Diceros bicornis minor: one gene and its partners. The protein of the gene in region 1 purifies or fractionates together with the protein of each later gene. This does not show direct contact. Links are inferred from orthologs where the notes say so. Each region holds a gene or a part of one and is shown on either strand. Other genes may lie near its edges. The genes, in order: CDK16, CCNY and CCNYL1.

The links.
Region 2: the proteins of CDK16 (region 1) and CCNY purify together in Homo sapiens (affinity purification with mass spectrometry; 3 studies listed by BioGRID and IntAct, counting the BioPlex papers as one, with this or other methods). This does not show direct contact. The link is inferred for Diceros bicornis minor from reciprocal best matches to the Homo sapiens genes CDK16 and CCNY.
Region 3: the proteins of CDK16 (region 1) and CCNYL1 purify together in Homo sapiens (affinity purification with mass spectrometry; 4 studies listed by BioGRID and IntAct, counting the BioPlex papers as one, with this or other methods). This does not show direct contact. The link is inferred for Diceros bicornis minor from reciprocal best matches to the Homo sapiens genes CDK16 and CCNYL1.

Annotation. Positions count from the first base shown.
Region 1 is NC_080781.1:41,022,219-41,032,783, forward strand, and holds the start of CDK16 (cyclin-dependent kinase 16), read left to right. Parts: upstream 1-5,845; 5' UTR 5,846-5,860; coding exon 5,861-6,076; intron 6,077-6,319; coding exon 6,320-6,527; intron 6,528-7,128; coding exon 7,129-7,262; intron 7,263-7,361; coding exon 7,362-7,487; intron 7,488-7,592; coding exon 7,593-7,649; intron 7,650-7,746; coding exon 7,747-7,861; intron 7,862-8,545; coding exon 8,546-8,640; intron 8,641-8,738; coding exon 8,739-8,801; intron 8,802-9,051; coding exon 9,052-9,175; intron 9,176-9,330; coding exon 9,331-9,451; intron 9,452-9,559; coding exon 9,560-9,657; intron 9,658-9,741; coding exon 9,742-9,847; intron 9,848-9,907; coding exon of another isoform or gene 9,908-9,928; coding exon 9,929-9,971; intron 9,972-10,124; coding exon 10,125-10,215; intron 10,216-10,565. UniProt on the Homo sapiens protein: Protein kinase that plays a role in vesicle-mediated transport processes and exocytosis. Regulates GH1 release by brain neurons. Phosphorylates NSF, and thereby regulates NSF oligomerization. Required for normal spermatogenesis.
Region 2 is NC_080775.1:33,110,847-33,120,674, forward strand, and holds the start of CCNY (cyclin-Y), read left to right. Parts: upstream 1-5,303; 5' UTR 5,304-5,752; coding exon 5,753-5,906; intron 5,907-9,828. UniProt on the Homo sapiens protein: Positive regulatory subunit of the cyclin-dependent kinases CDK14/PFTK1 and CDK16.
Region 3 is NC_080749.1:84,556,157-84,566,034, forward strand, and holds the start of CCNYL1 (cyclin-Y-like protein 1), read left to right. Parts: upstream 1-5,100; 5' UTR 5,101-5,268; coding exon 5,269-5,494; intron 5,495-9,878. UniProt on the Homo sapiens protein: Key regulator of Wnt signaling implicated in various biological processes including male fertility, embryonic neurogenesis and cortex development. Activates the cyclin-dependent kinase CDK16, and promotes sperm maturation.

The DNA of each region.
Region 1 (10,565 bases):
GGCATGTGGATATCTGGGAGAAAGCATTCTAGGCAAAGGGAACAGCAAGTGCAAACTCCCTGAGGCTGGACTGTGCCTGCTTTATTCAGGAACAGCTAGGAGACGGGAGTGGAGTGAGAGGAGGAAGGGTAGGAGATAAGATCAGAGAAGTGATGGACCTGATCATCTAGCCCGCGGTGGACTTTTCTTTGTCAAATATTTCCATTCCCATCATGGTCCGGTAAATCCTCGCTAGTATGAATCGTACTGAAAACTCTGGTGTGACCAAGGCCTCTATAAAGGGAAGCCCAGAAGAGGCGGGGAAGCTGGCTTTGGACTGGGGTGCAGTGTAAAGATGCCCCCGAATGCTGCCGCCATTTGTGCTGGGCTTGGTGTAAGCAGAGAGGGGTGAAGGATTAGGTCTGCCTGGCAGTGTTGACACACAACAGGCGCCCAATAAATAAAATAGAAAACCGCAGGGCCGGGGGAGCCACGGGCGGGGCTCTGGCGGGCAAGGAAAGGTAGTTGAGAAGTGGCAGGAAAACCCAATTCAGGGTGCTTACGCAAACGCTCGCGTGAGGCGGAGAAAAGCCACCCTCCCAACCCAAAGTCCCAAGCATGCGCAGTAATGCACTCGCCCCTTTAAAGGTCCGCCTTTCCTCTCTTCTCAGCCTAGGCTCTGCCCCGTGAGCCTCGCTGAGGGAGATGGGAGGGGGTTAAAGGCGGGACGAAAGGCGATTGAACGCTCTTTTGACCAATCATCTTGCGGGATATTTGGCCTATAGCGACAGAGGAGCTCAGAACAAAAAGGAGGGCCCGTGCCCCACGACGGTGAAAACCCATGAAAACCCGGCAGAGGCGTGGTAGGGGGCAGCGAAGTCACGCCTCTTCAGCCCAGCCACGCCCTTCATTCTTGCTCTGCCTCACCCAGGGTGCAAATCCGATTGGCTGGGCGACAACCTCAAAGGGCGGGGCCGCACACGTTCACAGTGGGAACCAGCTAGCGGCGGGGGCGGGGGAGAGGCAGCTGGGCGGGGCTAGATTCTGTCCTATCTAAGGTGGTAAAGGCCAATGATTCTCCAGGCCACCTCTCCTAGAAAAGTCATCTTCTCGCGAACCTTTAAAATTCCTGCCTCCCGAGGCACCTCAGGAGACTGGGACTGACTGCCTCATCTGTCTTTTTCCTCCTTGCAAAAGTCCCGTTTGCCACCATGGGGATGTACCAATTGAGACCTAGTAGGGGGAGCGAGTGGTGACTGGCACGCTGGTTCCCGGCTGCTGCCCACTTCGGCGCTAGCAAACTTCTAGCAAGATCGAAACTGAGTAGTAAATAACCTCTACACTCCCTCCTGGTGCCGTTCCAGGGCCAGCGCCACATTCCCGGGTGTGCGCGCAATGGCCGCGCCCCCTCCCGCTGCGGCCGGGTCTTTTGGTACATGCAGTCCGAGGTGAGTCCCCTCCTTCCCACTTCACCCTTTCCAGCGTGTGCGTGCGCATGCGTGGAGCGCGACGCGCGCGGTGGTTGGGCTGTTGGCTGTTCGGCCCTGGGATCCGCCGCGTCTCCGCGAGCAGTCGGCTCTGAGCCGCGAGCCGCCGTGAGCTCTCGGATTCGAGCCGGCGCCAGCGAGCCCGGGGGCATCGACCGCAGCGGCCAAGCTCATGGCCGGCTGAGCGGGACGCCGCCTCCGCCTCAGCCACCGCCGCCGCCGCCGCCGCCTCCTCCTCCTCAGCCGGCGGCGGCCCGGGCCCAGCAGCCATGGCCGAAGACTACTGGGACGGGCGCCTGCGGCGAACAGGAGGAGAAGGAGGTCGCGCGGCCTCAACCCAGGCCGCCGCCCCAGGCGCCGCCGCGCCGGTCTCGCGGCGCTGAGGTTGCTCGCGCGCCCCCGCCGGTGAGCGCGTCCCCGAGACGTGGGGTGGGGGCTGCTTTTCCTCTTACAGAAACAACTCAGACACCGGGCGGTGCCCAGGGCTCTGGACTGCACCGCTGGCATGTGCCCCTTCCTCCAGCGAATTTCCCAGAATGCACTGGGGCGGGGGGTCATTCGGGGCCTCCCTGACCTTGGCCCCGCCCTGGGCCCGGTCTGGGAGCTGGGGATGGGCAGTACCGTGGGAGCTAATGGGGAGCAGGGTGATCGAAGGACCAGAGGGTGTGAAAATGGGTGGCACAGTGGTAAAAGACTCCAGGTTTGCTAATGGGAGTCGGAGCATGTGGTAATAAGTCTTACCGCTGTGTAAGGTTTGAGGCCCAGTGTGTTCTAGTGGGGGTGCAGTGCAGGGCGGTGGAGGGACCCGAGGGAGAGGATGTCAGAGGAGTGCTGAGACATGCAAATGGAGTTATAGCTGTAGAGAGGCCCTGTGTGTGTTAATGGGGGATAGGGTGGTAGAGGTACCAGAAGGTGTGCTACTAGGATCAGAACTCTGAGGCCCTGTGTGTGTGATAATGAGGGTCAGGATGGTGTTAATACTGTGTATTTGTCCATGAGGTACTGCAGCGTGTGAGGGTCCAGAGTGTGTTCACGAAGGGCAGGATAGTGGAAGAACTCATGTGTTGAGAATGTGCTAATGAGGGGTCATAGTTGTAGAGGGTAGGCGCATTTGGTAATAAAGGTCTGGGTAGTATGAGGCCCAGTATATGCGAATGAGGACAGTGGTGGAAGGCCTGAGCCTGTGCTGATGGATATCAGAGTTGTGGATATATTGGGGGACGGGGCAATGGAAGAGAAGTGTCTTAGCACTGTAAGAGGTTCAATGTATTAAGGATCAAGATGGTATGAGATCAGTGTGTGTGTGTGTCCATGAGGACAGAGGATGTGAGATTCAAGAACGCGCTAAGAAGGGGTGGGGTGATATATGTAGTTCTAGTGACTGCTAATGTTGGTTTAGAGCCATGGAGGTGCTTAAGTGTGTGCCAATGGGAGGAGAGTCAGCAGTATGAGACCTGGAATATGCTAATGAGCGTCAGAACATTGTGAAGACGGGTGTGTGTGCTTGTGTCTATGGGGGACTGGGGTGTGTTGAGGTTCCAGGGAGTGTTAATGGGTAGAGCTGTGGAGGGAATCTAGTGTGCAATAAGGAGGATCAGGGCTGGGAAGGGGTCCAAGTGTGAACCAACGGGGGTTATAGCTGTGGAGGAGTTGAAGCAAAGAGAAATGAAAGACAGGAATATGTGAAGGTCTAGGTGTGCTCAGGTGGATTAGAGCCATGGAGGGCTGACGTGTGTGCTAAGGGGAGTCTGGGCTGAATCAAGACCTTTGTTCACTAATGAGGGTCAGGCCATTATAGAACAGTGTGTTTGTGTGTCCCCGGGGAATAGGGCTGAGTAAGGGTTCAGGGTGTGCTAATGGGGAAGGCACTGTGTGAGGCCCAGTGTGTGATAATAGGGGTCAGGGTGAAGTGAAGGTCCAGCTTGTGCTGAGGGGAGGCGGTGTGGGGTGGGGGCAGGAATAGGGTAGTGAGGAGACCAGAATACATGTTAATGATAGTTATAGCTGTGGAGGGGTCTGAGTGTGGGCAAAAAACAGGTCAGGGATCTTCAAGGTTCACTTTGTGTTAATGGGATTCAAGGCAGTGTGAAGGTCCAGTGAGTGCTAATGTGGGTCAGCTGTAGAGGGTCCCAAGTGCATATTAATAGGGGTCAGAATCATGTAGGGGGAACAGTGTGTTGATGGGGGGGTGAGTGCTGTGGAGAAGCTAACAGGCGGCTGGACCTGGGAGGTGCCCACAAATGGTGGTAAGAGTTAACTTAGAGGGGCCTGAGTGTATGCTAATGAGTTGAGTGTTCTGCTGGGGCTTTGTATGCTGATGGATGTTAGAGATAAATAGGGAAATTGCAGGTGCTGATAGCAGTTCAAATGCAGAGAGGACTTCTGAGGGCCCAGTGTGTACTGAAAGAAGCAGAACACTGTGAGGGTCCAGTGTGTGCTTATGGGAGTCCGGACAGGAGGAGGATGGTGTGTTCCTGTGGGAGTTAGTCGAGTGGGATGACTGTGGCCTCAGTGGTGAGTGTGGTGTGAGGTGGTGAGTGTCCTTGGGTGTGAGAGTATTCTAAGGGTGGTTACGTGTCCTCGGGGGTCAGGAAGCATGTGTGCCCTTTTTTGAGTGGAGTTGTATCCAGTTTCTTGCTCCCTCTTTCACTATTCTGAAATCTAAAAAGCTCAGAAAAGTGAAACGATACTATTTAAGTTTTACTGCATGTTAATGTTCAAGTGTCTCTGTTCACAGGGGCTGCCCAGCGCCCCCCTGCTGGGGGTGGTGCATGATACACAGATTTTGTACTCCATCTTCCTAAAATCCCCAAAAAACTGAACTCTGGAACGTGTCCAGCCCTTGGGGTTTCCAGTTAGAGGTCATGGACCCATGGCTCTTTCTGGCACCCTCCTCATCCTCGATCTAGCCCTACTTACAGCCCCCTCCAGATCCCCCATTCCCTGCTACAACAGGCAAAGCGACTGGGTATCCGTGCCATATGGACACAAGACAGTCTTTGGGGGCTGGCCATGTTTCACCTTAGCCTCAGGTCCAGTGTTCAGCCTCCTGGGTCAGGATTTTGTTGTTGTTATCCTGGGTTCTCTGGATGGACCTCATCCTCTTTACTGAGGTCTTGCTAGGCTGGCCCCCTACCCCTCCTGGGGGTGGTGAGGTCAGGCAGGGGGTGTGGGGACCTCTAGGGTAAGCATCTGATTTCAAGGTAACAGATGACCCACTTCTCTCCTCGAATCCAGCCCCAGCCTCATCCTCGACCTCCTATCTAGCTCCACTTCCCTTGGGCCCAGGGCCATCTTAGGCCCTGCTGTGAGTCCAGATGGTTCCTGGGCCAGGTCTTTCCCCCTCCTTGCTGGCTCAGAGCCCAGGAGGAAGCAGAAGAAGGCCGGCCTGAGCCTTTTGGTGGCCGTGTTCCCTCTAGCAGCCCCATCTAGGTCATCTGCTGATGCTAGTGTCCCTGGGCCACCTTGTCTGGGGTTGTTCATGAGTAGCAGGGACTCAACCCTGCTCACTTTGGTAGAGGTTAGTCCTAGGCCTTTAGCCCCCTGATTCATTAATTTCTGCCATAAGCACTTTTTGAGCATCTACTCTGTGTCAGTCACTGTTCCAGGTCCTCAGGATATAACCATGACCTAAACAGAAATCTACCTTGGCGGAGCTGATCTTCTAGTTATGGCGGTGAGGAGACAGTAAAGAATAAAGAAGCCAATAAGTAGATGGTGTTATTTCTGAGGAGGTGATGAGAGCTGGGGGGAAAATTGGCAAGGTGAGGGACCTCAGGATTGTTGAGATTTTAAATAGGGTTATTCATGGAGGGTTATCCATAGAAAAGGTGGTTTTTGAGCAATGACCTGAAAGGGGTGAGAGAGCGAGCTATTTTGAAATCTGGGGGAAGGGTATTCCAAGTACCCGGAATAGCCGGTGCAAAGGCCCTGAGGTGGGACTGCTGGGTGTGCTTGCAGAACAGCAGCTAGCAATGATCGAGGGGGAGGTGACACTAGAGAGGTAATAGGGGTGAACGGGATAAGACCTTATGGGCCACATTGAGGACTGGGATGTTTATTTGGGGTGATAAAGGAGATGTGCATTCTCAAGTAGAGGAGAAATGTGACCTGGCTTATAAAAATCTGGGTGGCCTATGGGTCCCCACCTGATTGAACTCTTCCAGCAGCCCCTCAGGACAGCTGTTGTGCATTGAGATCCCCCCACAACCCCACCCAGTGGTTGGATCTGGGCAGGACCCCCCCTCCCTGCACCCCTCACCTGGGTAGACCAGTGGAGTAGTCCACTAGTCACCGTGACGATGGTTGCTGGGGGAGGCGGGAGAGTCCTTGTGGCTGCAGGGAGCATTCTGCCTTGGCAGTTGAGGGTGACGTGGGGCTGGTGCCAGCGGGACATGCCATTCTATGGGCATGCCCGGGGCCGTGTCTGTGGTCCCTCGGTCCTGGGCGAGCCCCCCGCTCCACCCATGGCTGAGTCCATCGCTGCCGCTGCACCCAAGAATGCCTGCTGTGGAGCCCTCTGCTCCCACAGTGAGGCTGCCCCCATAGAGGCCAACACTCCACCGGTTGGGCCCTTGACCTCAGCCAGCCACCCAAGCCTCAGTACCCAGGTGGGCTACTTAGGAACAGGGTACCCAGGGGCTGGCCATAGGTGAGCAGTTACTGGCGAGGGTCCTCATCCATGCCAGGCTTCCAGGAATCCTGAGTGATTCCAGGGCTCCACAGTGGTTGGGTGGGCATTGACACAAGTTCACGTCAATGTGCCTTACTAGGTTGTCATGGGTTTTAGGAGGCCCGTGGTGGTCAGGCAAATGCTAACATGGGACCCATTCCCATCTGTACTCCCTGCTCAGGTCGCCATGGATCGGATGAAGAAGATCAAACGGCAGCTGTCCATGACACTCCGAGGGGGCCGAGGTGTAGACAAGACCAATGGTGCCCCGGAACAGATAGGCCTGGATGAGAGTGGCGGTGGTGGTGGCAGTGACCTTGGAGAGGCCCCTACACGTGTCGCCCCTGGGGAACCTCGCTCTGCACGGGGCCCGCTCAGCTCTGCACCAGGTGGGTCCACTGACCACTCCCACCCCCAGACTGGTCCCCAGGTGCTGCCTCCCAGCTGAGTTCCTCTTAGACTTGTGTTATTTTCATTTTCCTTTCTCCATTTTCTCCCCCTTCCCTGCCATCCTCTCTCAACACCGTCTCTTTATCTGTCCATCTGTGCCCCTTTCCTTGGCTTTGTGCCCAGGCCTCAGCAGGAGGAAGGGTGCCTTGCCTGCCGCAGCTGCCCCAAGCCTCCCTTTGCCCTTCTCCTGTGCTCTGCGATGGCCCTCTTAGGTCTCCTGGCTCCTGCCTACCCTAGGCCTGCCTTCCCAGGGCCTTTGACTACCTCTGCTGCTGCCTAGCCCCTGGCTCCGGGCCAGCCACAGTCTCAGCTTGCCCCTGGAACAGGGTGCTCCACTAGGTGACTGTTGCTCCCCCCCCATTCAACCTGTCCTGACCTGTCAACCTCTCTGGGCCTTGCCACCCTCTCCCTGAGGGTCTCCAGGCTGCTCCAGGGGCCCTGTGCATACATGTGTGATGAGGGAATGTGTTCTGTGGGAGACGGGGTGTCCTGGGGCTCCTGACCCTGCCTGGCCTGCCCTCCCCCTGTCCCCACTACCAGAGATTGTACACGAGGACTTGAAGATGGGTTCTGACGGGGAAAGTGACCAGGCTTCAGCCACGTCCTCGGATGAGGTGCAGTCGCCAGTGAGGGTGCGCATGCGCAACCATCCCCCACGCAAGATCTCCACTGAGGTGCTTAACCCCCTGTCTGGATGGTGGTGGGGCTGGAAAAGAGTTGGACCTGGGGAGGTGGAGCTCATGGTCCCGTTTCTTCCCCATCTTGCCTGCTAGGACATCAACAAGCGCCTATCTTTACCAGCCGACATCCGGCTGCCCGAGGGCTACCTTGAGAAGTTGACCCTCAATAGCCCCATCTTCGACAAGCCCCTCAGCCGCCGTCTCCGCCGTGTCAGCCTGGTGAGCATCTGTTATTCCTGTCCTCTCCTCCTCCTCCTCCCCACCCCCACCCCCACCCAGTCCCCTCCCCTGAGCCTGCTTCAACCAGCCTCCTTTACCCCACAGTCCGAGATTGGCTTTGGGAAACTGGAGACCTACATCAAGCTGGACAAGCTGGGCGAGGTGAGGAACAGCCAGGAGGCCCATGGTGGGGATGGGGGCCAGGGGGAACTCCCTGTAGCCTCAAGCTCCTCTCCTGTCACTCTTCTTCACACCCCAGGGTACCTATGCCACCGTCTACAAAGGCAAAAGCAAGCTCACAGACAACCTTGTGGCACTGAAAGAGATCAGACTGGAACACGAAGAGGGGGCACCCTGCACCGCCATCCGGGAAGGTACAGACATCCGGGAAAATCTGCCCCAGGCTTCCCAGGCTCTCTCCGTGGCACAAGCACTCACCCCCCATAGTGAGAACAGAGACTCGAGGGTTCTGGGACTTCCCGACACTCTGAGCTTCGTGAGAAAGTGCCCATCACCCACATATGTAGGTAATAATCAAGGTAACCAGGAATCTCTTCCTGTTTGGAGAAGAGGCAGATGAATTGGAAAGCAGTGTGCTTGCTTTGGTTCTAAGAGCACCCCTGAAAGTGCTCACCAATTTACTGACACAACAGTTTCTAGTTAGACTGTCACATGGAGTGAATTTGAATTGCATAAAAATTGAGTGTGCAAACTCAGTTTCACATGAAGCTGCAGGCTTATGTACTGAGGGTTGGAGCAAGGCCCCTTTCCAAAAACCAAAAACGGATTGTGACAATCTAGTGTCACATAAACCTGGGGCTGCAGTCCCAGGTTCTTGCTCTGTACTCTTCTCTGAGCTTTAGTTTTCACATATGGAACATGGGGACACACCTTCCTGGCATTGGGTGGGTTAGAGCTGGTGGCTGTGAGCCGCCACCCCAAACTGCACTGGGAAAGAAGGAAACCCTGGGCTCATCCCTGTCTGGTCCTCGTCCTCGCCTCTATCCTGAGGGTGGGGCGCTGACTCTTCCCCTGTCCCACCCCCATGTTTCCTGCAGTGTCCCTGCTCAAGGACCTCAAACACGCCAACATCGTCACTCTACACGACATTATCCACACAGAGAAGTCACTCACCCTTGTCTTTGAGTACCTGGTAAGGTTGGGTGGCAGTGGGTCCCAGGGGGAGGTGGGGAGATGGCCAGGAGCCACAGGATGTGACCCTCTTTCCTCTACCTGCTCTTCTCTCCTTAGGACAAGGACCTGAAGCAGTACCTGGATGACTGTGGGAATGTCATCAACATGCACAACGTGAAAGTGGGTGTGGGGCAGGAAGCAGGGGCACAAGGGGGCCCCCACTCACCCACTCTACCCCACAAATCTCCCAGAAACGGTCTTTTCCCGTTTGGCTTTTTTGCTGGGAGCCCTTGGAGGGCATTGGGACCCTGCCCTCTTTTGTGAGACAAGGCCCTGGGCTCAGTGTCTGTGTTGGGAGGGGGAGCAGTGCCTGTTGGGTGTCAGGCTGCTGGATACTCTTTGACCTCTGCCTGCATTCCTGGGTCCCCAGCTGTTCCTGTTCCAGCTGCTCCGTGGCCTGGCCTACTGCCACCGGCAGAAGGTGCTACACCGAGACCTCAAGCCCCAGAACCTGCTCATCAATGAGAGAGGAGAGCTCAAGCTGGCCGACTTTGGTACCCCTGGTCTCCCCCTTTCCCATGACCACCTAGTCTAAGTCCCCTTCAGCCTCTCCAGGATTTGCTTAGGACGCCCTCAGTACCAACTGCACTCTCCCCCAGACTTCCCAGGACCTCCTCAATTCCAGCTGCCCCTTCTCTCCACCTACCAGGCCTGGCCCGGGCCAAGTCAATTCCAACAAAGACCTACTCCAATGAGGTGGTGACACTGTGGTACCGGCCCCCTGACATCCTGCTTGGGTCCACGGACTACTCCACCCAGATTGACATGTGGTGAGGACAGGTGGAAGTGTGGCAGGGGCCATGTGGTAAAGGGGGTGGCTCAGTCACAACAGCCAGCCAGCCGACTGCCTCCCTCTTCACTGTGCCCTCCCTGCCCAGGGGTGTGGGCTGCATCTTCTATGAGATGGCCACAGGCCGGCCGCTCTTCCCGGGCTCCACAGTGGAGGAACAGCTGCACTTCATCTTCCGCATATTGGGTGAGGAAACACAAGCCCTAGGAGCTGTGGAGACATGCATGGAGACCCTGTGAGATGCTTAGGGTAACTCCTCTTCCCTTCCAGGAACCCCAACTGAGGAGACATGGCCGGGCATCCTGTCCAATGAAGAGTTCAAGACATACAACTACCCCAAGTACCGAGCCGAGGCCCTTTTGAGCCATGCACCCCGGTGAGGCTGGTGGGTAGGTGGGTGTTAGGGGCCAGAGTGCCCAAACTCAATTTAAAGCAGGTCCCCTTGTTCTTGTGGTAGACTTGACAGCGATGGGGCTGATCTCCTCACCAAGTTGCTGCAGGTGAGACCATCTTCCTGGGCCAGCCTTGGGGGCTAAGGGATTCCAGGTGTAGGGAAACGGAGTTCCAGGGGCAGGGTCTGGAGTGGGGAGGAAGAGAGGCCTACTCATTGGAGGTGTCAGTATTCCACACATACACCCCCGCCCCCCACTCAGTTTGAAGGTCGCAATCGGATCTCCGCAGAGGACGCCATGAAACATCTATTCTTCCTCAGTCTGGGGGAGCGGATCCACAAACTTCCTGACAGTGAGTGGATCTGGGGAATGGAGCTGCCGGTGGGGGGCCTGTGGGAAACAGGACAGCTGCAGACAGCTTGGGCAGGTCGTGTAGGGCTCTGGCTACGCCACCTCTAAGAGGGTACACCCTTGTTCACACGTGTGATGTGTTTATTACAAAAAAAGTTATTTTCGTTTTTAGTTCCTGTCACCTTTCATAGAAATTTTCAAACATACATAAAAAAATAGATGCAACATCACTTTACCTGGTGTGCGTGTGTGTGTGTGTGTGTGTGTGTGTGTGTGTAAGATCGGTCCTGAGCTAACATCTGCCAATCCTCCTCTTTTTTGCTGAGGAAGACTGGCCCTGGGCTAACATCC
Region 2 (9,828 bases), on another chromosome or scaffold:
GGTCCAGGAGATTCAATTTCCTGGGTCGGGTGGATCTTCAGCACACAGACCAGGGCATACTCATGGGTTTCCTCTCACAGGAACCTTTGGCTCTAGTTCTGGGAATATTGAAGGATCTGTATTAAAATAATGTATCAGGCATTTAATTCTTTTAATTTCCATAGGGACTAATCTGCCTTTTCGAGGAACAACTTCCTTTTGACACCAAAATCCTACCTTGGCCTGCCTGTGGCATCTTCCCATTCCAACCTGCTTCTACTATGGGGAACCAAGTATATATGGGTACCCCATGGTTCTAGATCGGAGTCCCTATTATCTGGGGGTCAATCAGTGAAAACTGACAACATGAATATATAAAACTGTATCAGAGGATAATATCAAATCCTGGCCAGATCAATAACTTGGGAGTTCAAAATAACAGTGGTTGATACAAGTTTCTCATGTAAAAGAAGAGTACAGAGACATTACCTTAGTTCATGGCTTCCATCTTTAAGGTCACCTGGTTTTCAAAAGTGCATGCTAGATCTAATTCCAGCCATCATGCCCACATTCCAAGAAGCAGAAAAGAGGAAGCCTCTTCAGAGAGCTTTCCTGGAAGATTCTGCTCACAGGTCATTGGCCAGACTTAGTCACGTGGCCAGCTGTAGTCTTTGAGGTGGGCATACTGCTGGCCCTCACAAAATGGAGGGCCTGGTACTAAGGGAGATGGGAGAATAGACACTGGGTAGTGAAGCAGCTGCCTCTCCCAATCTGACCTGTGAGATGCTGGAATTCGCCTTATCAAAGGCACATCCTAGCTCTCAGAGACCACACAGACATTTACCATGTCTGTTCTTGGTAAGCAAGGAGGGATCAAGAAGATGGAGTCTGGCAAGAGAGAGATTGTACTTAAGGCTATTTAGCACGGGGACAAGTGTGAATTCTCAGTGGTGAGGCAGAGAAAACAGTTTCCAAGTGGGCCTTCGCCCAGATACCTAGTGACTGTGGCTGTCCCCTCTTCGTTGTTTACTCTGTAAACGAGGGTTTTACTCACGGAGAGGAAATGTGTGCCACAAGTGCCATCTTCTCCTCCTCCCTTCTTCACGGCAGCGTTCTTCCCTCTTGAGCTGGAACATGACCTCAGAATCCTTCTCAACACAATGTTTCTGGCAGTTACTCTGCTCCAAAAGACTTGGCATTGGTGTTTAAATCTACCAGCCATCTTTAATTGCTTCTGGAAATTTTCGTTCCCACAGAATCTCTGGGTATAATTCTTTACTTCATAGGAATAAATACCATCTATTTATTCCAATCATCTCATCTTTTGACTGTGTACCTTACTGGACTATGAGTTTCTCTAGGGTGAGAACTATCTCTTATCCATTTTTGTATCCCCAGGGTGCCTGGCTCAGTACACTTTCAAGAAATGTTTTATCAATAAGTGAATCACCTACATTAGTCAAGGTCAAGTGGCTATCAAAGTAACTACTTCCCCGATAGCTGGTTATGCTGTGGACTGCTTACACTGAGGACTAAAGGGAGGCCTCATTTGGTTGGGAGTCACAGGAAAATAAGAGGGGTGCAGGAAGAGCACTGGAGCACTGGTGGTACACAAAGGCCCTGGTTAGTCCACAACTGCCTACACGTGTTTAAGTAACTGACACAGGAAACTGGCTACCAGGTGATGAGGAAAGGGCACTCTGAGTAGGTTCTTCTGAAACTCCAGCCATTTTCCTTCTTTTTTTTTTTGGAGGAAGATTGGCCCTGAGCTAACATTCGTCCCCATCTTTCTCCACTTTATGTGGGACACCTGGTACAGCATGGCCTGACAAGCAGTGGGTAGGTCTGCGCCCAGGATCTGAACACGCAAACCCCAGGCTGCTGAAGCGGAGCGTGCGAACTTAACCACTATGCCACCAGGCCAGGCCCTCCATTTTCCTTCTTTTGAGCAAAGGTCCAGGTCCTGGGTTAACGGCTCAGTGTTTTCTGAGTTCTAGGGAGATGTGCAGATGACTGATTCATATTTCATGGATATGAGTGTGGCTGAAGGAAGACTGTGATTATGCTCCCCCTGATTCAATGAAGGCAGCCTATTCTCTCTTTTTTTAAAATTTTTTTGTGAGGAAGATCAGCCCAGAGCTAACATCCATGCTAATCCTCCTCTTTTTGCTGAGGAAGACCGGCTCTGAGCTAACATCTATTGCCAATCCTCCTCCTTTTTTTTCCCCAAAGCCCCAGTAGATAGTTGTACGTCATAGTTGCACATCCTTCTAGTTGCTGTATGTGGGACGTGGCCTCAGCATGGCCGGAGAAGCGGTGCGTCGGTGCGCGCCCAGGATCTGAACCTGGGCCGCCAGTAGCGAAGTGCGCGCATTCAACTGCTAAGCCACGGGGCCGGCCCGAAGGCAGCCTATTCTCATTGATTTGTTTCTATAAGTAGATCTTATAAATTAATACTGATATTGCTTATACGTTTTAAATATTTTGATTCCATTGAAAATTTTGTTTTAAAAAAAGCTATGACTGCTAAAAAAAAAAGTTTGAAGAGCACTGCCTTAGCTAGTTTGCACAAGTTCCATATTTACCTCTTTACAATAACCAAAATCTCAAATCGTGCTTGTGAAGAAAGATGAAGGAAAATTATTCCCAGATGTTTCTTGCTGCTCAAAGAGCAGGCTGAGGTATGAGTAGATCAGGTTGAGTCTTTCTGAGCAGGCTGAACGTTTTGAGGACAGCTTCCCTCTCCCCACCAGCCCCAATCCTGGGCTAGATGCACACTGAGGAAGGGTCCCTGCATTCACATTTCCACGTGATACAGTCTCAGAGATGCTGTGACTAAATGCAGATGGTATTTTTGCGGAACGTCTCTCTTCGACCTTGCTGCCTATCTACTCACTGTGGTCAGGAGGGCTGGGCCCCACAGAAATAAAAAGGCTCCCCTCTCTTCTTCAAGTCTGGAACCAGTCCTAAGCAGTCTCTCAGAAAGAGAACAGAAAAGAGAAGAGGAGAGAAGCAACACTTGTCTCTTTTCCACTCAAAACATTTGTGGATTTCTTCTCTCGTTACTCTAATTTGCTTCCCTGCTCCCCTCTGTTCAGTGACACCTGGCGGTGGGGGCAGCTGAGAGGGGGCCTCACAGACTTTGTAATGGGAACCAAGGTTCAAATCCCCAGGTAGGCCATTTCTCAGTAATCTGACTTTAGACGAGTTTAATTATCAGAATTAAAGTGTCTTTATTTGTAAAATGGGAGATAACAGCATAGGATTAGATGTTAAGAAATGCTCAGCATCTAGCAGGTGTTTCATAAATGACACCGTCCATTATCATCCTGGCATCACACTGCCTCTGCAGCCTTTCCTAAAATGTCACTGTGTGTCAAGCAGGACGCATCTCTACCTGGAGGAGTCTGAAGTGTGTGTGTATGTGTACAGGGGGTGGGGTGGGGGGTTGGCACCCAGGTAAATCACTGGCGAGGCTTCAGCACTTATCTCCACCCCCCAGGCCTGTTGACCAAAAGTCACACTCCTGAAAAACCCAACAGGTACATTCCTAAAGGGAACATGGCAGGAACTTCAAAGAGGGGGTGGGTGTGGTGGGGGGACAGAAAAGTCCCTGCAGACGAGCGGGGGTCCCCTCCTCTGGCAAGAGTCTGTGGCTACCCTTACCCCCAGTCGCGTCTTCCCTCACCTCCAGATGCTCTTTCCAGTTAACACTGCCCGATGACCCGCCACAAGTGCCATGCTGTCTCTCCCGGTAAGCCCTTCAAATTATATCATTAACACAAATATTACAAATTTTATGATGAAATAAAAATGACAATGCGCCGGCGTAGGTATGTTCGGTGATTGGATGCTTATAGCGCCCAAATTACAGGACAGCAATCAGAGCAGACGATCGGGTCACCCCTCTCGGCTCCTCAGCCATCTTACCCACACACCGCAGCCCTGAAAATCTGAGTCCACACATTCCCGGACTTGCAGTTCCGCCCCAACCAAACTTCCCTGCAGCAATGACAGACCGCATTATTTTGTCTGTCCGCTACCTCCCCGCCTCTTCCGGGCCGCAGTTCTCGGGAACTTCCTTCGCGTTTCCCCCCTCTGGTCCGCATGAGCACTGCGCTGCCCTGTACCTGGGTTCAAGGACGCCCACCACTTAGCCCACCGAAGGGCGTTACTGCGGTTCAGGTCGTGGAGCTTGTTAAAATACGGACTCATAGATGTATAAACACTCCCGCCGGACAGAGGGAGAGCACAGTGACAGAAAGGAGACACGTCAAGAATCAACGGAAGTACCGTGTATGAAGCCTCTGGCAAGACACCTCCACACCGCTGACGCTCGACGCACACCGTTCCCTCACTCCTTTCTCCCCGCGCCTGTCGCCACACCAGGCCTGAGGCCTTGGGTCCATCAAGGCACTTCATCTTTCTGGACCTCAGCTTCCCTATACTTACAATTAAGGGGAATGTACCGGCTCTGTCGTGTTCAAACGCCCCCTCCCCCGAGCCCCTCCTCATGACTCCCTCAGTGACCATCTGGAAAGGGGGGACAGGTCGTTTCCGCCACCTTACACTCTTCCCAAGGCAGGCGGGAGCCAACAGTCTTCCCGGCCGAGCATGGCGGGCGCGGGGGCGTCGGGAGGGAAGCGGAACCCACGATTTTCTGAGGATCCCCCACGAGCCAGGCCCCGTCGCGTCCTTTCCCTCAGTTAAGTGGCCTCAGTTCAGACCGCTCCCGGCCCGACAACCCCGACAGCATTTTAAAAGCAAACAAGGACAGCTGACGCTAAGTTACCTGTCTCCACCTCACATGAACCTCCAAGGAACTCAAAACACTGCAGCTAAGTCGACATCCCAGGAGCCCAGGGCCCCAAGATTTACTCCAGGGTTAAAACAAGGGCCCCGTCAAGTCCTCGGCAAAGCTCAAAGCAGAAGCAAGAACTCCCAGTCAACGTCCGGCTTCCTTTAAAACGTTTAAGAGAAAAAAGAAAAAACAGCCCCTCCCGGGAGCAGCAGGGGAGGCTCGGCGCCCCCAGGCCGCCCGGCCCCGGCCCCGGCCCCGGCCCCGGCCCCGGCCGCGCTCGCCGCTGCGGCCCCGCGAGCGGGGGCGCACGGCGCTCTCGTCACAGCGTCGAGCCGGGGTGGCCGCGGAGACCGGGGAGGGCACCGAGACGCCGGGCCCCCCTGCGCGGCGCCCGCTCATCTGCTTCCAGGGCAGCGGGAAGAGGCGGCGCCGGGCGGGGCGGGGCGGGGCGGCGCCGGGGCGGGAGGGCGAGCATCCTCGCTGCCGCACCGCGCCGGGCCCAGGGCCGCGCCACGCCCGCCCGCCCGCCCGCCCGCCCGCGCGGACCCGCGCCCGCCGCCTGAACCGGAACCTCTCGCCGAGGCGTCGCAGCCGCCGGGGCCGGGCGCCGGCCGGGAAGCGCGGGGGAGGCGGCCTGCGCGGCGCCGCCCGCCATGGCCGCGGCGGGCTGAGCGGGGCTCGCGGCCGCACTCGCGCGGACCGGGCGCTCCTCGCGCGGACAGGCCCCGGGCAGGGCGGGCGCGCGGAGGCCGAGGGAGCCAGGGCCGCCGCCCGCTCATCGCCGCCGCCGCCGCCGCCGCCGCCCATGGCGAGGCCCCGCCGCCGCCGCCGCTGCTGACCCGGGGCCGGCCGCGGCTTCCGCCCCTCCCGCGGCGGCGGGCGGGCGGGCCTCCCCTCCACGCCCCCGCCGCCCGCGCCCCGCGCCGGGCCGCGGAGGAAGGCGAGCGCCGCTGGAGCCGGGGGCCGCCGAAGATGGGGAACACTACCTCGTGCTGCGTGTCGTCCAGCCCCAAGCTCCGCAGGAATGCCCACTCCCGGCTGGAGTCCTACCGGGCCGACACGGACCTGAGCCGCGAGGACACGGGCTGCAACCTGCAGCACATCAGCGACCGGGAGAACATCGACGGTGAGCGCGGGCGGGCGGGCCGGGGCCGCCGCGCCCTCCTGACCCCGCGCCCCGGCCCGGCTCTTTCGCTTTCTCAGCCTGCTCCGGCCCCGTCCCCGGGCGCTCGGCCCCCGGCCGCCCCTGGCCCCTGGCTTGGACCCCCGAGGGAGCGGCGGGGGGACTCGGCCGGCCGGCGGCCCGGGAGAACCGCGGGTGAGGGTCGGTGGGGACGGCGCGAGTGGCCGGGGCGGGGGCGGCCGGGGGCCCGGGTTCCAGGCTCTGTCTATCTGATCACAGCCACAGCCGAGTTATGCGCGAGAAGGGTGAGCTCGTCTGCCCTTTAAAAGGCAAAGGGGATGGATTATCCCTGGCATAACTGAGGAGCGAATTCCCATTTTGGAATCACAGTCTCTACCTAGTGTTGGAGAGCAGGGTTGGCCTGTGTCAGCGCCCCGGAAACTTACAAATTGACCCCACTTGGCTGTCCGCCACCCCCATTTCCGTTAAAAACGAAAAAAAAAAAAAAGGATTTTTGGGAAGTTGAGAGATTGGAGGCAAATAGCCTCACCTGAATGCTTTTAAAAAATTTCTTTAGAGTATTATCAGAATGGTTTGGAGACAGCTTTTGGTTGAGTCACCTCGTTTTTGCTTAGAACCGAATTACAGTCCTGTGAATTTCTGAGCTGAGTGACTTGGTTTGGACTAGTGTTTGTAAAGGAACTTAACGGACTGATCACTGCACCTAGTAATGTTTATTTACTTTATTGGTCTTAGAGTATCTGTATTAGTACTGTTATATCAATAAGCTACGTGACTGAATATCTACAGATGGGTAGTTTATGCATCATGCCTGAAATACAGTTTACATAATTCCCAACTTTAAAAAATTTGAAATTGGAAATATATTTTTATGACAACTTGATTTTTCTTTTTTTAACCCCCAAATCTTCTCACAGTTGATGTAATTGAACTAACCTGAATGTCGTATGAATGCATTGACACAACTCGATCATAATTCATTGTTGTTGACTTTAGGATGGAGCATTTCCTCTGACTTTAGGTGGAAAGCCAAATTTAAACTCTACTAAAGGAAAGAGTTTTTTCATTGTTTGGCCTCCTTGAATTTCTTCTGAATAGTAATTGTATCTCTATAGGACAGCACCTTTATTAAATGAGTACCATATATGAAGAGACTGACACAACATTTGGTTTGTAGTAGGCGCTCAGTAAGTTATGGTTTGGTATGACTTTTCTAGTGTTGTTATTTTAGACTTCCATTATCTTAACCTACTCTTTAGATGTTTTTGAACTACAGCCATGCTTTATTTTTAAATTCATGCACTTAAAGGCATCTAGAAGGATATTAAGGCCAGATCTGTTTTGATCACTGCTGTAGTTCCAAGCACCTGAAAGAAGTGTCTAGCATATAAAAAAGACTTAAGTGTAGTATTTTAAAAGAATGCATGAATAAATGAGGTTATTATAGAAAGCCATTACCCAGTCTTATACAATGTTGACAGGCAAAAACATTTGAAAATAATTTCTCCTTTATGTTGGGCATGAATACTGGGTAGAGGCTTTAGGTTTAAATACTGGATTTAAAAAATACAAAAAGGAAGAATCACATTTCTTAGAGCCAGGCTGCAGGATGTTATTGACTATAGTAAGAAAAACAGGGAAAAAAAAAGTAATTGTAACCAGCTGTATGGCACTAAGGATTAGAAGGATTTTGCCAGAGAAAAATAGAATAGTATTGTGTGTTCTTTCATTTGAAAGAAATCTAAGTTTTGGTCATCAGTCATTTTTGAGAAAACATTTGGAAGTCTACCAACTCTTGTTTTGGAGATGCAGGATAGTTAAAGAGACTATAGGGCAGGTTAAGAGGATTTCTAATCTAGGCTGTAGTATCCTTTCACCCCAGAACCCAGTTCAGATGAATGCTAGTTTAAACCTGGAAATACTGATTCACCATTTAAGGAATGCTTTCTCTCTCTCTCTCCCAAATTCGTTAAGTAACTCTTCTAGGATTTACCCATCCAGCAATTCTCAACGTTGGTTTCAATTAAACCAGAAATCTAGGGCTAGGCCTTGGCATTAGTATGTTTAAAGCTCTTCAGGTAGGATACAGCCAGGGTTGAGAATCACTAGCTGGGTATGTCTTGGAAGTGTTACCTGTTGTTCAGGGACATTGTCGGTGGAAATTCATTCAGTGTCAGGCTGGGAGAAGTGAACAGATTTGTTTAAATAGTATATAGATATATATCTATATTTTAATTTCTGAGTTATTTTGATTGTTAGATGATTAGTAAACATTTTCAAACTACATCTCAAGAATCCTTGATTCTTGATTCTAGTCTGTAACAAAAGCTGAAGTGCTCAAATACCGTCTTTCTGATATCCTGGAAAACATCCCAGACAACTAGAATTGAAAGGTCAGAGAAGCAGTTTTCAGTAGTAGATTTCACTATATGAGATATTTTTCTCAACTTATACCTTAACTTTTCAGTCTAATTGGCAAGTAAGTTATCCCTTACCTCACCTGCCTCCAACGTACATGCCTGCTCAAGAGGCTGTTCTGTTCTTCTGCACTCAGAGGCTCATAATCAAGGACAGAATTAAAATGTCTGTGTTGATGCTACTCTTTCCTGAATCGTGATAGGTCAGTTTGTTAAAATCACAGAGACATGAGGTATGTAGCCGTGTTTTCCATGCCCAGACACACAGTGGGTGATGTTTGTTCTGTAGAATTTCCATGACTGAGCTAGGGCAGTTGGGCTTCCATGACACCTACTGGCAACTTGCCCTGTCTTTGTACTTAGGGTACCTTAGTGTTAGGTTGTTCATGTTTTTAAGATTTATATTAGACTCCTCAGCTCCCCAGGTATTATTTCTCATAAAATCATTCCAAGATTGAGAAGTAACAAAAGCATTTAACAGCGATGATAGTAACAGTTGCAGCCCTTATATATTGTCCACTCTGTGCTAGCTGCTGCTCTTGGTGCTGGATATCTCTTCATTTAGTACTCACAATAACCCTACGAGTAGTAGTATCCTTACTTTAAGACAAAGGAATGAGGCAGAGAGAGGAGAAATGACTTGCCCAAAGTCATACAGCCAGTAAATGATAAATGGAAACTGTTGTTGCTTGACTAGCCATCAAACGTTAACTAGTCTGGGGCTGCTTCTGGGGTAGGGTGTTTGTCACTGTGGTCATATCTGTAGTTTCTCTGAGAAGGAACTTCGCTATCCGCAACAGGCTGACTGCCCTGATTAGATTGTTTCTGTGGGAGGAGAAAAAGAGAGATGGACTAAAGAGAATTTAAGATTCGATGAGACCAAATAAATCGGGATATCTGTAACATGTGTACCGTAGTGTCAGTTTGGGGTTTTGTCTCAAAATGATTGATAGCAACTTCTTCCTTTGTAGATCAGCCGTCGTCCTTGGCAACCCAATTTCTCCCTCATCCCGTGTCCAATCCGCTAGAAAAGCGTGACTCTCTACGTTCAGACTAGATCCAGAGTCTGACCACTTCCTACAACCTGTCCTGCTGCCCTTCTGATCTCAGCAGCCATCGTCTCTGCCAGCCTCACTGCTCTCCCTGCGTCTACCCTGCCCACTGCAGTCTCTTCTCAACACAGCAGCTGCGGGGAGATCCTTTTAAAAACTTGAACACGTCACTCCTCTGCTCAAAAACTGCAGTGACTCCTTAGTTCACATTGAGTGAGAAAGCCTTATAGTGAGCTTCCACAGTGGAGTCCTTCTGGTGGACTCCAGGGCCCTTTGTGACCTGCCTGCCCTCCCCACTCACCCACTCACTAGCTCATTCCAGCCACACTGGCGTCCTTCGAGGCTGTTCCTTGAACACACTAGATATGCTCTCACCCCAGGGCCTTTGCTCTGTCCCTCTGCCTGGAGTGCTCTTCTTCGTGTATCCTCTGGGCT
Region 3 (9,878 bases), on another chromosome or scaffold:
GAATTTGTCTCATAAGATGCCCTGTGGTTTGGAACTGTAATGACAGTGGATATTGGGGTCAGAACTGACCTGTCCAATGAACATTAACTGCCCTAATGGTATGGCAAACTAACACCATTTTTATTGTTTTCAGAGCATTATGTCAAATAAGTTAATATTCTCATCTCACCCGACTCAATTGGCAGAAAGAAACCTATATGCTATGAGGAAAGAAGGTGAGAGAATAATTCAGAAGGCGTGTAAAGAGACGGGTGGAAGAAGCACTGAACAGTTTCCTAAAATGTGAGTACCAGCACCATTGAATGCTCCACTTACTGAGAAATCTGGATTATAATTTTCTGAAGTTGGAAATCAGTCGTTTCATGTCAAATCAGGTATAATAGTGGTTCTTAACATTTTTGTTCACATATACCTTTGAGAATATGATGATAACGATAGACTCTCTGCCCAGAAAAAAATGTACATATGACTTACACACAAAAATCCTATTCTATAAGAACTAGTCATAATACTCAAGATGGAACCCAATTAGTCACAACTCACATATAATATATAATCCTGATCACTTGACTGCCATAAAATCTTTCTTGCATCTAATCTAGTTTAATTCTATACTTTAAGCCTCTCTCACTTTTTGTCCTCTAACTTTTAAGAAAAGATCATTACAGCACTCCTTGTATAAGTTTTCCATATTTGCTTGCAAAGGGCTACGAAATTGTATCACGATCATTCTTTAAGTTGAAACTTCCCTAATCTTCCCTTACAGATTGTGGTATAGCACTCTATGCCACAATCTGTGCCTTCCATTACCTAGTACTCCGTTCTACAGTAGTTACTGAGCTACATGATTACATTTCCTGAGCCTCCCTTGTAGCTATGTGTGGCCATGTGACTAAGCTTTAAGCCAAAGATATGTAAGGCATTGTGCTATGTGGATCTTCCAAAAAATCTCCCTTTGTCTCTTCCTCCACTCTGCTGTCTGGAATGAAGATATAATAGCTGGAGCTCAATAGCCATCCTGGGCCATGAGTCTGAGGTGTGACGGTCAACACTGTCTGTTGACCTCCCTACTAGAAGATAAATTTCATGAGAACAGGGATCTTGTTTATCTTGGTCAAAGGAACATCCCCTGCACCTAAAAAGTGTGTGACATGTGGTAAGGGCTCAGGTATTGAATGAATAAAATGAATGAGTTTACTCCAGGCCCATGTAAAACACTAATCATCAAGTCCTCCCAGGGGAAGTTCAGCCATAAGTAGGCATATGCAAGATCTCAAGTTCTGTCACAGAATCAAACTGTGGCTTAATTCAAACCACATCACTCCTATTTGCTTCACTTAGCTCTCCCAGACTGGCCACTGTCATAGGACAGGGCTTTTTCTTAATGCTCTCCAATGCTCTCTTCGAACAAAATATTTTCAAAACAATGCTTCCCAATATTTTTCTGCTTAGCAAGTTTAAAATTCTTTAATTTTCAAGGTCATGGGTATCTATTTTTGTGTGTGTCTGTTGTTAAATGCAGGCACTATTTTGTAACTTAATATTAGGCATTGTTTCAAGTCTACAAGAATCATCCAAAATGGTATCTAATAACATTCCTTGGACTTCAGATGGTATCATTATTATCACAGAATGCAGTCACTAGGTCCTAAGGATTTAACAGGATGTCATTCACTGAAACTGAACTTCACTGAATCCTTTCCCATTCCTGTTTCCCACATTTCAACATATTGCCTATTTATTTATTTATTTTTGGTGAGGAAGATCAGCCCTGAGGTAACATCCATGCCAATCCTCCTCTTTTTGCTGAGGAAGACTGGTCCTGGGCTAACATCTGTGCCCATCTTCCTCCACTTTATACGGGACGCCGCCACAGCATGGCCCGACAAGCGGTGCATCGGTACGCACTTAACCAATACGCCACAGGGCCAGCCCCAATATATTGCCTATTTTTATCCCCAAACCTTACTTACATCTTTTAAACAATTCCATTAAATATTAATCATCCCTGCTTCCCTGAGTTTTGAGGTGACTTTCCTCCTGCTATCCTTCTAATAGAGAAGAACACAACTTTTGGCCCCCTTTTGATCCCTTATGTGACTAAAGGGTTGTGAATATTCATACTTGTTGCAATTACATGTCATTTTCTTCTTAATTTTGTTTTTACTTCTCCCTAAAAGTTGTTGCTATTTCTTTTAACTATCTGGGGGAAGTAATTAGCCCCATCTTCTACTTTTGTGATGTATCTATTTATACTAGAGCTCCTTGGTTTTTGCTCAAATTTCTCGTCAATTTATCCACCTTTGAGGGAAGATATCATTTGATTTTTGTTAGGTATTACCAAGCTTTTCTGAAGTGTAGACTTCTCTACACATTATCCTCTTTCCCACAGTAGCTTTCCAGATAGAGCTTATTAAAGCAGAAAACAATAGGACTTATGCCATGAGCTCTTCCTAAGCCTCTACTCTCCCAGAAACGTGTCTCTGGCCACACAGGTCCTCGCTCCCTCTGCTCTTCTGTCAGTCCAAGGCTAAGCTACCCCTGCTCTGGAGTGCATGCACTTCAGCCTTCTTGGGGACCTTGCTCTGTTAATTCTCCCTTCTCTTCTAACTTCAGACTTTTTTTTCTCCATTGGCTCTTACCCTTTAACACATAAATATACTCATATTTTTTCCCATCTTAAAAAATAAGCATCCTTAACTGTCCATCTCCCTCTAACTAGTACTGCATCTCTTTTCAGTTAAATGTCTAGGAGAAGCCCTCAGTCCCAGACTTTGCTTTCTCACCTCCTCTTCACTTCTTTACTCCCTGCTTGCCATCTGGCTCACACACATCCCCAGTCACCCGGTTGCCACAGCCAAGGCACCTGGAGCTTTCCTGCATTTGACTCTGTTCAGGGGATCCCGTATTGAGTTCCCACCGGCTAGGCCCTGTACTAGGTACTGCCTGTTACAGAACCCAGAGGCAGAGGTAACCCCCACCCTCCTGGGACTCCCCTGATCAGCCATTCCTCATTACCACTCAGTCCCTGGACTTCCACTGCTCACCTTTGCAGTCTTCACAGACGTGCCACCTCAATCTCCCTGTTGTCTGAGTCTCCTTTCTTTCTTTCCTTTCTCGTTATACCTACCCTCTCAAGGCAATCACTTCTGTACCATCGTTTCAGTTACTTTCTACACACTCTAAAAAAATACAATTTCAAACGTTGTTTTCATTGAACAGTTTTATTTTACATAGGATGCCTCATTTACTAAAACCATAGATTCCAAGTTGCTCCATGAAAATAATCATTAAAAAATGTGATATTCTTTGCATAACAACTTTAGGAAATTTCCCCAATTACTTTTTCTGGTTTGATTTAATATATGTGTTATTTTCGAAAACTTAAGTTGGGATATCACAAAACGGACTTAGTCAAAAGAGGTTTATATCCAACTTTCAACCAGAGAGCTCCATTTCAACGGTCCACTTGGAGACGAAAATGATGTCCACTCGCCAAGCCTACTCCTGTCCTGCCTCTCTACCCAGGAGAAAGTCACTACTGCCCACCCCGTCCCCAACCAGAGCCCGGGCGGCCGTGCCGCTCCCCTCGCGTCTCGGTCCACATCCAGTGTCCAGCTCTTCCCCGGACGGTCTCGGGTCCTCTCCCTCCGCGTCAGCCCGCGCCGCCCCCAGCGGGGCCGCTGCTCTCCGGGGTGGACGGAGGGGCTCTCCGCCGCTGTCCTGGCTCCCTTCGCTCCTCCACACCGTGGAGTGACCTCCCTACACCGTGCGACAGGGACTCCTCGACCTCGCAGCACGCGGCCGCTCTCAGGTCTCCGAGATGCGACTCGACCCCTTTGCCCAGCGCGCTCTTCGGGGTCAGGGGCGCGAGGCCGGAATCGCGGGCTGCAGCGCTCTCCGGCGGTGGCCTCGGACGGCGGGACTCGAGCCCCGTGCCCCCGTGCCCCGTGCCCCCGTGCCCCGTGCCCCCGTGCCCCGTGCCCCCGTGCCCCGTGCCCCGTGCCCCCGTGCCCCCGTGCCGGAGCTCGCGGAGGCAGCGTCTCGCCCACAGGCCGGCGCGCAGACCGCGTCGAGGGAGGGACACACCTGGCAGGCCACCGGAGACGCGTCCCTCCCGGAACACCCCGACGGCACTGTCGCCTCCGCCCACGCCGTCCTTCCGCCTGCGTGTCCTGAGGACGCCGACGAGGCGCCGCGGGGACCCACACCTGGACCGGGCCCGGCCGCACCCCAGCGGCCAGGCGGCCGTGGGGGCGGTGCTGGCGTCCGTTTCTTCCGTAGAGGGAGGCGCCTTCCGAGGGCCGAGTGAGCGCCCGCTGGGGCGCGGCGGGGCCCGCCCGGTGCCGACCGTCGTCCCAGCTTCCGCACGGGAGCGGGGCTGTGCCCCTCTCCGGCGCCCCATTTTCTAGGCGCGGGGGGTGAAGGGGGCAGGCCGGGCCTCCTGCGCGGAGGAGGAAGAGCGGCGGGCAGGTCCCGCTCGCTGGGCGGTGACGTGTCCGAGTCCGTCCGCACGGCCGCAGGCGGAACCGGTGGTTCCGGTTCTGGACCGGTGCTGCGGCCGAGCTGCGGGCGGAACCAGCGCTGTGAAGGCGGGACCGGGAGCGCCTCGTCACACAGCGGCCACCGAACGTGTCACCAAGCCCGGGGAGCGGCGCGTCAGGGCAGCCGCTGTCGGAGCCGGGCTGCGGGGCCGCTCACGAGCCGGCCCGGTAGCCTCCATGGAGCCCGTTGTCCAGACCAGGGCGGCCCCCCGAGCGCCCCCCGCCCGCCGCCCCTGCAAGGCCGGCGCCCGCGCTGGGGGGAGGCCGGCACCGGCGCTGAGGGACCCCGCTCCCGCGCCGCGCGGGGCGGGCGGGGCAGCGCGAGGGGCGGGGCGCGGCGGTCACGTGCCCGGCTGGGAGGCGGGCGCGTGCCGGGAGCTCGGGCATGATTGGTCGGCCGTAGCCTGGTGACCGCGGGGCGCGCCGCGGTTGGCAGCCGCCGGGCGAGCGGCCTCAGTCGGGAGGCGGCGGCGGAAGGAGGAGGAGCTGCGGCCGCGCTCTCTCCCGGCAGTGGCTGCGCCTCCAGCGCCGGTCGGGTCCCCACCCCTTTTCGCTGAGCCGGCCGGTCGCCGCCGTCCGCTCTGGTCGTTGCGGGGCGGCGGCGCGGGGCGGCGGGCTCAGCCCTGCCCGGCCGGCGCGTGGCGGGCAGCGGGCGGCGGGCGTCGCCGGGGCCAGGCGGCCGCGCCATTGTGGGGGAGGGGGCGCGGCGAGGCGCGGGCGGCCCATGGGCAACACGCTGACCTGTTGCGTGTCCCCCAATGCCAGCCCCAAGCCGGGCCGGCGCGCGGGGCCGGCGGCGCGGGACTGCGGGCCCGAGGGCTACGAGGCGGCGGCCGGGGACGCGGCGGCGGTGGCGGCGGCGCCCGCTGCGGTGGAGCCGGGCGAGGCGGACCTCGGGGCGGGCGAGGGCCACCACCTGCAGCACATCAGCGACCGCGAGATGCCCGAAGGTAGGCGGCGGCCGGCCCCGCGTCCACCGCGCCCTCCCCCGCCCGCCCCACGGCCCGCCCGCGGGTGGCCGCCGTGTGAAGACCCGCGGGGCCTTCGCCCCGGACCCGGACCCTGAGGTCCCGACCCGGGCGTGTCCGCCCCGCCCCGGGGTCCTCGGCGCGCAGGTTCGGTGGAGGGGCCGCGGAGAGGGCGGGGACCTGGGTGGTCCGTCGCCCCAGAGGCGCGTCGCTCTTCCCGACTGCCGCCAGAACACGGAAGGAAGGAGCACGGGGAGAGCGGGCTCAGCGCGGCCGGGGCGGCCCCTCTGTGAGCGGGGAGCGCGGCCGGCCCCCGTGGAGGGCCCGCCGGGGCCGCGCGGACGCGGGCCGGCCCCTCTGTGAGCCGGGAGCGCGGCCCCGACACCGCCGCTCCGAGTTTCCCGAGAGCGGCCTCCCGCTTTCTGGGTGGCGGAGAGGTCTGGGAGTCGGGGTGCCGGGCCCTGCGCGGGCATGTGTGTCTCCGTGTCACCCCGTCCCCTGCTCCTGCCCGCAGAGTCCCGGGCAGCTTGAAGAGCGCTGAGGAGAGAGTTCTGCAGACGGAGCGGCCGGGGGCGGGGAGGGTGTTTCGATTTTTGCGTCTAGAATTTTGGAAAGAGATGAGTCTGGGTAAAAATAATTCTGGATGACAGCGTGGCTCTTGGATGAATACTGTGTTTGAAATAGGAAACATCGGATCGTAAAGCTGTTAAAGCCCGTGGGTCCGTTTGTTTGTTTTTAAATGCCAGAGATTATTTCATGGAGGAAAAGTCGTATAGCTCCTCCTCTGTTTCAACTTTAGTTGGGCTCTTAATTTCTTCAAAAGTAAGAATAATTAAGCCTGTGAGTTCACCTATGTGATGGTCGTGGCTTTGTAACTGGGAAATACTCCCTTTTCAGATATTCAAATATTGTGAAAGAATGAGCAAATTATGTGAATTAATTAATTGTACCTTAAATCACAAAGCCTGTAAGGACCTGTGAAAACTTCTGCTCTGCCTGGGTCTGTAAGGTAAGCCTCTGAGTGGTGTTTACAGACCAGTTAGTAGATGGGCAGTCTTGGATGAGAGACCAAAAGAGGACCTTTATATAGTCCTTTAAGATTTATGACACGTTTTCGTGTGTATATCTCATTTGGCTCCTCCAGCTACAAATAAGGTCTGCGTGTATTCTCTGTATACAGCTGATGAGAAAACTGAGACTTAGAGGTCTGAAAAGTCTGTATAACACAGCTCCTGAGCAGAAGAGAATGACATGGAGGTGGTAGACATGCCAGATTCAGTTCTCTTTAGAATGCATGTTATATTTTATAACATCCATAAGGTAGGCCTGTCTTACTCCAGGCTTATTTCCATTCAAGGTTCATTGTGCACAACTCAGAAGCCACAGTCACCTCTCCATCCTATGTCTATAAATTCATTACAATGGATAAGAATAAAAGTAGAAATCATGAACTAGCCTAAATTTACCAGTCAGGTAAACAAGTGGATATATTTTAGAGTTTGTTCTGGTGACCTCGAATTGAAGCTAAGAATCCCCTGGACAGAGGAACATTAGGAGAAGCTGGTAAGAGGGCAGATAAGGTGCCAAGCATTAAGCATAGGACTATGATAAGGAGTGTTAAATCAGAAAAATTGAAAAAATATAGTTCATGAGTACAGAATTTACTTTTTTATGTTTAAGATGATAGTTAAAATTTCATTTCAATTTGTCTTTTAAAAAACCTTTTTTTGGCATTCAATCAAGTGATAAGAGAAACCAGTTTCAGCATTTGCCTGTTAAGTTTCCATGGAAACAAGGTCAGACCACCAAAAATAAAGTAAGACACACTGAAAGTTTGCTTTTAATGTCTTTATTTCAGACAGTTTTATATCAGTTTCCCTGGAAACTGAGAAATACCTATTTAGATGTAAAACATTTTGGCTCTTGTACAATGAAGAATTGAGTTATTTGGTTACTTAGACGAAATCATACATAAATGATACTCTGCCTTGTTCTTCTGAAACATTTCAGAAGAACATGACTTCTTTGAGCCATTTCGAAGAGCTGTTTCTGTGAACCTAGCGTAGGTTCCAGATGGACTCACAAGAGTTTTTCTGCTACCTCGCCTTTATCTAACAGTGTATCCAGTATAACCCGTGGTAGTATCAATAACAAAATAAGACGTGAGGTTCCTCTTACCTAATTTTATTATTACTCACCAACTGTTCATGCAGACCTTTGTGTTTTGACCTCAGGAGCTTTGCTAATTTGCTGGCTAAAGGTGCTCTCTCAAGTGACCCCTTCCTCCCCCTCCCACTGAGTGAGTAGGGAAGGAATTGGCAATATGATGTGGAAAAACCTCTGAGCAATGGATCTTTCCTCTTTCCGGTAGCTATTTTAAACCTTTTTTTTTTTTTTGCTTTTTTTGATAATAAATATTTGATGGAAAAGATTTAGAAAATACAGAAAAGTCATTCACTCATACTCAGAACGTCCAGAACTTTTATAAATATTTTGGTGTTGATTCTTCCTGAACCTTTTGTATGTGTATAAACATAACATTTTATTTTACAAAAATGAAATCACTCTTTATGTGCTGCTTTGTAACTTTTTGTTATGAAGAGAAGTAATGATATAAAGCTCCTGGAAGTGTGCTTGACACCTGGAGAGTGCTCCAGGATGTACTTCCATGCAACTACATGTAGCTCTGCTACACACCTCTTGGTAACTGTTTAGTGTACCATTGAACGGTTGGAGCACCATTCATTTCCCCACCCTTTATGGTTGGGCCTCTTTTATACTAAAATAGCACACAATCCCGTTATAATTCTTCATTCTGGGGGTACAGGTAAAAACTGATGCATTGTACCTCCCTGTAGGGTTCAGATGATATACTTTGTCTTATGACAATTAAATACATAGAATGAGTCATTTTATAGTTAAGGTATTTTAACATTAAATGTTCTTATCCCAAATTAAAATTATCATTGATTTTTCACTGCACCTTAGAATTCCTCTTTTAGGTTTTTGTGGTTCTTGGTAGCCTGTTCGTGTTTTTAGTTCTGAATAACTACCACTCTAAGAGATCTGAAAGTAATGCTGGTCTTAGATGACAAATCAGATGACAGCATTAGAAGAAATCTTTGAAGATGTGGGAAAATTGGGAGAAACATAACGGGTACTGGGTACACTGAAACAGTGAGATGTTTATTGGGCACGTTCCAGATGCAGGACGAACAGTGGTATACAAGACAAAGCCCTTACCCTAACTCAGGTCCTTGCATTCTAGAGGGCCCTAGGAACAGACAACATATGAATAATCAAGAATGTCAGGCAGTGAGGTGCTGGGAAGAAAATAAAGGAGGGTAGTGCACTGAGGAGGGGGCAGTTTTACATGGGGTGGTTAAAGACAGCTGCTCTCCTTCAGTGACACATGAGCAGTCCTAAAAGTGAGCAGGAGCCATGTGAGGATGTGGGAGAAGAGGCTTCCATGCAGAGTTCCTCAGGTGGGAATACGCTTGGTGCAGGCAAGGGACAGAAGGAGGTGGGGGTGGCTGCAGCAGAGTGAAAGGGATGCCAGGAGGGAAAGGTGGATTAAGACCTTGTATGCCTAATGGACCTTGACAAAAAATAGAGATTTTAGTCCAGTTGTAATGGGAAACCACTGGAGGATTATATACAGGGGAAACATGTTAATTCTTACCAAAACAAAACAAAAAACAGATCAGCTACTGTGAGAATAGACTAACGCAGGCAAGGGTGGTACCGTAGTTCAGGTGAGAGGAACAAAAAACTATAAGGGCCTAAAATAGGCTGACTTAAAGAAATTTAAGTGAATCTAAAAGTAGGTTAAAAAAAATACGGATGGACAAGTCACAGAAGAAATGCAGATGATCCTTAAACTTATCTTCACATATAAGAGAAATGCAAAATAAAACTATACTGTAGTTTCTCTCCTATTGGGAGAAAATCCGTAAACTTGGCACGGCATTCTTTGGTGAGGCTGTGAAGAAACAGTTACATTCTTAAATTACTGATGGAAATGCAAAATGGTTCTATCCCATGAAGGCAAAGTTGGTGCAATCTCACAACATTGCAGATGCATTTAATCCAGAAATCCTAAATTCAGGAATTTATTCTGAAGACATAACCCACAAATATGAAACCACACATTCACAAAGTTTTTGTTGCATTATTCTCAAAAGCAAAATTTTGGAAATAACTCAAATGTCTAGTAAGGGACTGGTACATTCACACAATGGAGAACATGGAGCTGAAAGAAAGAGTAAGATCTCTTTACTGCTATGAAGTGATCACCTGAAAAAAGCAAGGAGAGGACACACTGATCTACAGCACAGAGCAGGGGAAATATGTATTTGCTTATTAA